Linked DNA regions of Caenorhabditis elegans. The protein of the gene in region 1 interacts with the protein of each later gene in a pairwise test. Each region holds a gene or a part of one and is shown on either strand. Other genes may lie near its edges.

The links. The genes of interacting proteins can lie anywhere in the genome.
Region 2: the proteins of C18E9.8 (region 1) and Y105C5B.19 interact in a two-hybrid assay, tested with the Caenorhabditis elegans proteins (one large-scale study listed by BioGRID).

What each region holds. Positions count from the first base shown.
Region 1 is NC_003280.10:8,985,364-8,989,629, reverse strand, and holds C18E9.8 (DUF7754 domain-containing protein), read left to right. Parts: upstream 1-1,567; 5' UTR 1,568-1,608; coding exon 1,609-2,082; intron 2,083-2,140; coding exon 2,141-2,473; intron 2,474-2,518; coding exon 2,519-2,773; intron 2,774-2,818; coding exon 2,819-3,234; intron 3,235-3,281; coding exon 3,282-3,416; intron 3,417-3,462; coding exon 3,463-3,610; 3' UTR 3,611-3,730; downstream 3,731-4,266. Other genes in the region: C18E9.9 (MARVEL domain-containing protein), read left to right, coding at 92-310, 811-915, 968-1,123.
Region 2 is NC_003282.8:15,981,051-15,985,558, forward strand, and holds Y105C5B.19 (Major sperm protein), read right to left. Parts: upstream 2,921-4,508; coding exon 2,258-2,920; intron 1,710-2,257; coding exon 1,572-1,709; intron 1,524-1,571; coding exon 1,290-1,523; intron 1,228-1,289; coding exon 1,131-1,227; exon of another isoform or gene 1,127-1,130; intron 1,042-1,126; coding exon 951-1,041; intron 906-950; coding exon 798-905; intron 752-797; coding exon 628-751; 3' UTR 525-627; downstream 1-524.

The DNA.
Region 1 (4,266 bases):
CTCATTTCCATTGGTTCCCTATTGATTTTTGAAACTTTTGATATTTTACTTGTTTTTTTTCAGTAACTCTTTTATGATTTTTCAGAAAACAATGGCTTACAAAGATATGATGGAAATGCCTGGAGTGCTGAAACCAGCACTCCTGCTTCTCACACTTCTTCAAATTATCTTTATGGCTTCACCAGGAGTCCGTGGATGGTTTTGGTTCATTTGCCTCACATCGATTCTGGAATTTCTCGCGGCTATCGCAGTTGTTGCAGTTGTTTTCTTAGATTTAACTTTTACAAGATCGGGACAGTTTGTGATTATTGTGAGTGAGAATTTTAAATCAATAGCGAATGCAGTAACTTCTTGGTAAAATTTTCACTCGTTTTTGGCAGAAATTTTACAACTTATTTGAGAGGTGTTTAATGAGTTGTCGCCGATTGTTTATATTGATAGTCGGGAAATTAAAGAATAAGCTGATTAAATCGATTTGTACTACTATTTGATTTGACTTCAGAATGTGCTCAAAATGTTGCTAAATGTTGCAAAATGTTGCTAAAAGCTGAACTCTCGCTCTCCATAGGCAATATCTATTCACATCAGCTAAGAATATGTATAGGTTCGAATATATTTAGGCTATTAGTAATGTCTCTTAAAATATTTGCAACTATTTTAACATGATAATCAGGACGAGTTCATTCCTGCCTGTCTGATTTCTTGTCTACCGTAATTTTTCTATAATACTGATTCTACTATCAAATGTTTCATTGATGTGAAAAATGTTATAAAAATGCAGGCAAAAAGTTTTAAAATAATTTATTTCAGGAACTCGCATACAGTGGAGCATTCTGTGTATGCAGTGCTCTCAACACTATTTACTATTTTTGCAATATCTTCTATCATTTCAATTTTTGGTTCCTTTTGGCAACTGTTTGTTTTTTAAGATACTAAAACTTAAGAATCAGTATTATTATATTTTCAGATTGTATCGGTACTTCTTGTACTAGCATATGGTCTTCAAGCACTCATGGCTTGGACTTCAATGTCTGCTTCAAGAACTTCTTCTTCACACACTTCAAACCAAGCAACTGCTGGACCACCACCAACAGTCTATCCAGCCGGAGCCAACCCTGCATAAGCTTTGAACAAAAACGAATTTTAACGGTTTATAGCTCTTATTTATTTTTTAACGAGACATCACAAAAACCCCTTCTTTCTCACTCTTTTCTCTTGCTCTCCTACATTTGACATGTTGACATTTTTGAACAAAATAAAGTGTTTCCTTTAACTAGTTAAAATATTTTTGGAAGCTGAGGATAACGGCGAGGCTTAAACAAGAGTGCATCTAGCCCGCATCTGTCCTCGCCCTCATTGCAAAAGCTTCATTTCCCGATTTGCAAGTATGGTAATGTGTAATGACATTTGTTGAGACGCAGTTGAAGTTGAAAATGGCTAAATGAAAAAATAATTGGCGTTTCTTTTCAAAATTAATTTTCAAAAAATGACATCCGTGGCCTTCCATTTTTCAAATACCACGTCACAACAAAACAACCGAATAACCAGAAAACTACAAAATAAATTTATTTCACAAAATTTACAAGACGTAGAAGCGAAATCAAAACAATGTCGCTATCGGAGCTGTCAGTTCTGTCTGCTGAAACTGCAATCAGTTTTCACGAAATGGATTTGGAAATTTTGAAGGAGAGTCAGAAGGCGTTGAGGGAAGAAGCTGGAGGAAAAGAAGAGGTGGAGGAAACAGTGGAGAATCCGAATCCAATTGTGTTCATTGCCGTTGATGATCAGAATCTACCAAATGGAGAGGAAGAGGACTCATTCATCTTCGAAAAACTTCAGTTTCGAGTCAAGCAAGTTATGGAAAACGGTACTCGTCGTGTATATCTTTCTGTGCAAGCAACAACTCCTGCTGAATGGCAACTTCTTGTTCAACTCAGAATCAAAACTGGATGTCAGTCGAATATTTTGAATGTTGTTGATAAGGATGTTTATAAATTTGATTCATTTTCATATCCTCTGAACGTGGAAATTCAGAATAGTGACGTCAAATTTTTGAAATTTGAAATGAGAGTGTTGAATTTGGTGAGTTTTTTTTTTTGAGATTATAATCTATTGATCTGTAAATTATAAACTATTTCAGATGTACCTGGATCTCCCAACTTTTGAGGAAGGTGATGAAGTGATTGAATTCGACGATGGATCTCGTATTCGTGTTCATTCAAACATCCTCTCCCTATTGTCGGATTATTTGGGAAAATCGGAAAAAGAGTACGCATCTCGTACGGATTGCCCAGCTATCAAAGCAACTTGCTCTGAAAAGGAAGCATTCCTCGAACTTCTTTACCAAGCATATCCTACTCGCCGTCCAATTTTCGCATCATTCCGTCGTTTGACAGCTGGAGCCGTTGGTTACAAGTGTGACAATTTGATTTATCAGTTGTCGAAACATCTCATTGACTACAATTACAGACCGGTTTGAAGTTCTTTTATTTGAAATTTTCTAATGAACTATTTTCAGATGACATTCTTGCAACGCTTTCAAGCAGCGATTGAGAATAGATTGGAGCCTGCTATCAGTGAACTTGCATTCCGTGCAGCTTTGGACGGAACATGGAACCAGATGATTCAATCAGGATTTGAACCTGAGAACTTCTGTGGTCGTCAAGTTTACACGAAAATTGTGTGCCCCGCTATCTTGCTGGCAAGAAATGCAAAGCCCGATGCGACAACTTTGAAGAAGCCCGAGAACAATTTGAAATTTATTGAATTGGAGGTAATCCAATGTTGAACAAAGTTTAATATAAAGTAGTTTATTTAGGAGGGTGACACTACCAAGTCTGCAATTCTATTCCGTGGAACCATCTTCTACATCAACAGTGGGATACTTGCCGCTCATGGAAAGGAAATGCTTTGTATTGGTCAAAATGGAGAATACATTGCTCGTTACACTGCAGAATTTCATCGCGAATGTGCTCGTGGAGACTTGATCCCTGGCGAAGTTCTTGTTCAACTTCTCACCTACATGCATCCAATGGGAGAAGTTCCTCATCCGGATATGATTCGTGCTTGCATTGTTTTTGCTTTCGATCATGGATGGAATATTGTCAAGGAAAACTTGGAAAATGAATTTGAGCCACCAATTACACCAGATGAGTACATGTCGCAATTGATGTTTGGAGACAAGTTTGATCTCAAAAACTTGCTCCGTGTCAATATTCAAAGAGCCGAGTCAAGGTTTGTTTCGAGAAAGTTCCAATTAATCACTATGTTTCATATTTCAGTTGTCGTGAACTTGCCGAGGTTTTGGAGAGACATGGAAAACTGAAAATCTTGAAGGATCGTACTCATGAAGGAATCATGGACAGAATGTGCAGTGGATGGGGACTGAATCCAATGGTCAATCGGCTTTCTACTAGGTTTATTAGTTTAAGTTTTCATTCATTCAACAACTTACTTCTACAGATTTCCTACAACTTTCCACCACCGTACTGTCAATTTGCAACGTGGTAAAGCAGTGGTTGTTGGAGAAGGTCGAGCTGTTGACACGTTGAACTCTCTGGCATCGGATCACGCATTTGGAGAACCAACGGAGCTTATTGTCGTCGACTAGTATTTTTCGTAACTTCCTGTATGATTTTTAATGTTTTTTATTTTCTCTATTTGCTCCGGACTTGTGATTTGTAATGCTATGCTTCTCCAACCATTCTCTATAAAGCATTTCTTCGATCATACACCTCCCTTTGTGCACTTTTTGCAGAGAATTACAGAATTAAGCTCCGAACACATGTGTCGTTCGGGTCGATAATCCGAAAATACGCAAAAGCGCCTGAGTTGTGCTCTTTTCTGCTGCTTGCTGCTGCTCGGAAGACAGTCTCAGTAGCCCGGAGGGACTCTCCCGTAGCGGCTCCCGTTGAGGGACATTGCGGCGTGTTGAGCAAATGCAAACAATGACCGGATGGTATGTGCGTGCGTCTCCGCCGATCAGCATGCTTCTCGCCAACTCTGGAATCGTCGTATTTTGCCACTTTTCTGCTATTCCACCTCTCTTTCTCTCTAGCTGCCTGATCCTTTCACAGTCATGCCAAAGTCTTTCGTCACTGGTTTCTTTTTTGTTTCTTCGTTCGCTTAATTTTCGGAGCCTAATCTTTTCAACTTTTTAGAAAGTTTTCCAGTTTTCTCTTGATTCGTGTGCACTCATTTTCCTCCCAAAAAATTTCAAAACTGATTGTTCAATCCCGTGATTTCAATTTTCTGCCAGTTCGGAAG
Region 2 (4,508 bases), on another chromosome or scaffold:
TTACTATATGTTCAAACTTTTTTTCCAACTATAAAAGTGAAAAGAGCTATAAAAAATGCTAAAGTACTTAAGGGCACTGAAATCTTTTTAAAGTTGGAGTTGAACATCATCTGAGCCGATGATCTCTGAGATCAATAAATTTAATTCATGTTGATGCTAACAGTTCCAATAAATGAACACCATGAAACAATTTTTATAGATTTTGTGCTCAAATTTGAAGTGAGCAACAGTTTTCTGCGCAGTAAAATTTTCACTGTTGACCCAAAACTATTTTTTAAACAGTTATTATTGATTCTTTTTAATTTATATTTAAGTAATATGCGACTCTACAAATTGTGGCTGGAAATATAGTAGAAAATCTCGAACAGAGCCAAAAATTGCACGGGACTGCAATTTCACAACAAAAACTTTTTACTATGGGACTAACATTTCATTTTAATTTTAGCTCATGTTTCACAACACATTGAAACAGTAAAAATTTGAAATTTTCAAATTATTGAAACCTTGAGAACTATGAGAGGAGCGCTGGAAAAACTTTTATATAGACAGCTGAAATGTTTTTTTTTCAGAATTGAAATACATAAGTTAATAGAAAAGTCAACAAAATATAACAATTTCAAAAACAAATTATTCCATTTCCACTTCCTCTTCGTCATTGAAAATTTCTGATTTTATACTTCCTTCTGGGTTTTCTTCGTTTACCTGATAGTTACACATCATTTCTGAGCCATTTGGGAAAATTAGTCGGGATCTGAAAAAAATTATCGATTTTTATAAAACTCAATGAAATCACAAACTCTTTGAGCTCTCCATCCTCCTTGCGGAGTTGCTCTCGGAGCCATCTTGTGGCATCTTCACTTGCTTCGTTTCCATACATTTTGTTGTGGCGGCCTCTCACACGGTCTCTGAAAAATAAATTTAGTACTGAGCCCTGAGACAGTAAAACTCACAACTTATTGCCCATAACGTCGGTGACCAGCTTCCTCACTCGAAACTTCAGGTCTCGCGATTGTTCTTCGCCGAACCCACCGAGTATGTACTCTGGAAGAGGAACATGGTTTTTTTAATATTAAATTTCCTACTGTTTCAAAGAATTTATAAATTTTTGGTGAAACGTGTGGAAAACTAACCAGCAAACCCTTCGAAAAAGTCCCTAGCGATGGGAATATATGTAGAAGCGTTTTGTGAAGTTGCGTAGCACATCATATGGGGGTCCGCAATGGCAACCTTAAATTTTTGGAGTTTACGCAAGATTCTATAAAGTCTACGCAAGACTCCACTAAGCATACCTTATCGAAAACCGTTCTCGCCAGAGCTCTCACAAGAGTCACCAAGTTAGCCGTCGACCAATTCGACACATCTCCATCCGTCACAACATCGGAAATCATGAACCATTTCCTGCTGGGCAACGTCAAAGCTCTGTCAAACTTCTCGGCTGAGTCAATTGAGAATGCCTTGTTCGTTGTGATCGGTTCCGTGATTTTCTCCGCTTTTCGAGAAATCTTCCTGTGCTGCTTGTTTGCCTGAAAGCGAATTTTTTTTAATTTTCGAAACTTTTGGAAATTGCTCACCATCGCCGTAGTGAAAGCCATTCCAAGTGCCATTTCCTCCATCAAATTCTGATTTTGTGTTCGACACCGCTTGGCGAAATTGAGCCATTCGTAGTAGTCAACATCACGGTCATTTTTGATGAGTTTCTCCAGGTTTTTCTGAAAAATTTGAAGATTTATTTGGCAGGGCTAAGGTCTTGACTACAATGATGTACTGTAAGCAACTGACATCTTACGAGTTAGACTGCAAATTCCGTGGTGGGCCCGTAAAATGTCGGCTGCTAGCAACAGCAGTTTTAAAAGAGTCCACGGGTAATATTTTGTTCCTATAAACAAGCCGACATTTCACGAGTCTCAACATTCAATATTGTTCTAACTGGGCCATTGTGGTGTCGGCTGCTATCAAATTTCAAGCACTTGGATTTCAGCTCCCGACACTTTGCGAGTTTCTTTAACAATACTGTAAAGCACCGACTTCTGCTTCCGTTCGTTCGTTTTAATGTCGGCTGCTAGCAAAAGCAGTTTTAGAGGAGTTCGCGGTGAGATTTTGTTTCTACAAGCAAACCGACATTTCACAAGTCTCGCCATGCAAACTCGTTATTCTAACTAGGCCCGTGCAATGTTGGCTGCTATCAGATTTCAATCGTCTGAACTTCAGCGCCCGACACTATACGAGTTGCTCTAGAAATAATCCCCTCAAAACCTACCTCACAAGTCTTCCGATCCAATGGTTCCCCTTTCGCATAATCGTACAATTCGGAAGCAGCGAATCCAATCGGCAACCACATCCCATGCTTAGAGGCCTGAAGAAGGGGTGCCGAAGATGTTTGAGCAATTGGAGATGAGCTGTACTCTATCGGAAGGGTCTTACGACGAACCATCCCATCTCCATCCAACCAATCACGACAGAACTGCTTGGTGGATCCTTCAGACGTATTGGTCCATTCGACAGTGATACGGTCATTTGTGGTATCTACTTGTCCGAATGCAAAAGCATCGCAGGAAATTGTTAGAAGAATCTCCTCACTTGGATCGAGTACTCCACAATTTGGAGTGCACATCGTATCAACTCTGAGTCTTTTCATATATGTATTGATTCCATAAGCAATACGAAGAGCCGAAGTATTGATTAATTTGATTTTAGATTCTTGGTTTTCATTGTACGGAGCATTGAAGATGATTTTGCTCGGTTGGAAGTCAATTTCTCCTGGTGGAAGGGATTGAGCCATCACGGGGGAAAATTCTCGGGGTCTTTTAGGCTCAAAATCCTGGTAAACCTTATGTTCGACTGGAGCAACTAGAAGATCTTCCGGTTTTTGTTCGCATAGGAGTGGATACGGAGCAGGTCTTTTTGAAGCTCGGCGGGACATCTGAAAATTGAATTTTTTTTAGATTTTGAGCGTTCAAATAAAATTCAAAAAATCAATAGTGATAATCGACGTGGTGTCAGGTACACACATTCGGTTTGATCTACGAAAAATGCGGGAATATTTATTCATAAAAATTGTGACGTAAGCACGCTCTAAACCATGCAAAATCAGATGATATGTCTGCGTCGCTGCTCCCACATTTTTTGAAGGTCAAAGCAAAATGGGACTTTCTGACTAGCACTCGTTTTTTTTAAATTAAAAAAAAGATTTGAATTAAAAAACCGCGAATTTTCAAAATTAGTGAATAACAATATAAAATTCACGAGAAACAAGAAACAACACAAAATAAAAACCGATAAAATCGAAAACGTCACCGCACGGGAAGCATTGTTTGCGCGCAATGCCTCCCGCCGCGAGTTGAGAGACCGAATTAGTGTGAGAGACGCAGGTGGTGGTAAGAGAAATGACGAGAGACGCAGAGAAAAGGAACGTTTCAGGACAACGGACGTTGGTTTACGAGAGGGGGGTTTGGAGCGTTTTTAGTGTTTATTGATTGGTTTTGATTAGAATTTTGAATTTTTCGAGCGTTTGCCCCACAACAAAGAGATGGCAAATATTAAAAAAAAACTGTTAACTGTTAGAGAAAACATCTACTGTTTAAACAACTAAGCATAAAAGAAAAATTAAAATAAAAAATTAATTAATTGAAAATACTGTTTCAAGTTTGTATTTAATATTGATGTAACTTTTTTAAAATGCTGGGGAAAATAAAAATAATTTCACTTTTTCAACTGCAAATCATAGCTCCAAGAACAACTTGACATATTATTGGACTGATAATCTGTTGTTTCGGGAACATTTGTTAACGTTTATTTTTTCAAAGATAATTCCCTATAAATGATTTTTAATGAAAGAAAAACGCGGAAATCCTATAATTTGTTTTGCATTTCGAGAATTGAAATTACAGTTTCAAGTAGACTTAAAATTACTAGATAAATTTGATCATTCAATAATGCTTTTAAGTTTGTCGAAATTTCGAAGAAAAAAAATTTGTGAAACTGCTTAAATTTTCAGAAATTAATATTATAAAACTGACTAGTTTCATTATTGTTCGTGTATTGGAAATATTTGAAAATTAGCTTTTACTGCACTGATTTATATCTCATATAGGTGAGTGAAACTCGGTAGATGTCGGGCGCTCATATTTCGTTAGCGTTAGGCGTTCTTGAGAAACCCCACAAGTAATGTGGAATAATGTGTTGATTATCGGGTTTTTTTTTCACTGTTAAAACGACTGGAAAGGTCGAAGGATCTATCTACTAAAAATAGTTACTCAAGTTTTTCTTTTGAAAACCAGTTGAAACATCTCTGACAAAATTCAGATTTCTTTTCTCAAAAAAGTGATTTGAAATTTATAAAATAATTGATATTTCTAGAACACATTAAACAACTTTATGAAACTGTTTTTGGTGTAAAATCATTTTAAATGAAGGAAAAACGGAAAAATCATATAATTTTTTACGTTTCGAGAATTGAAATTACTGTTTCAAGTAAGAAATAAGATTTCAAGAAAAGTTTACTTATTCAA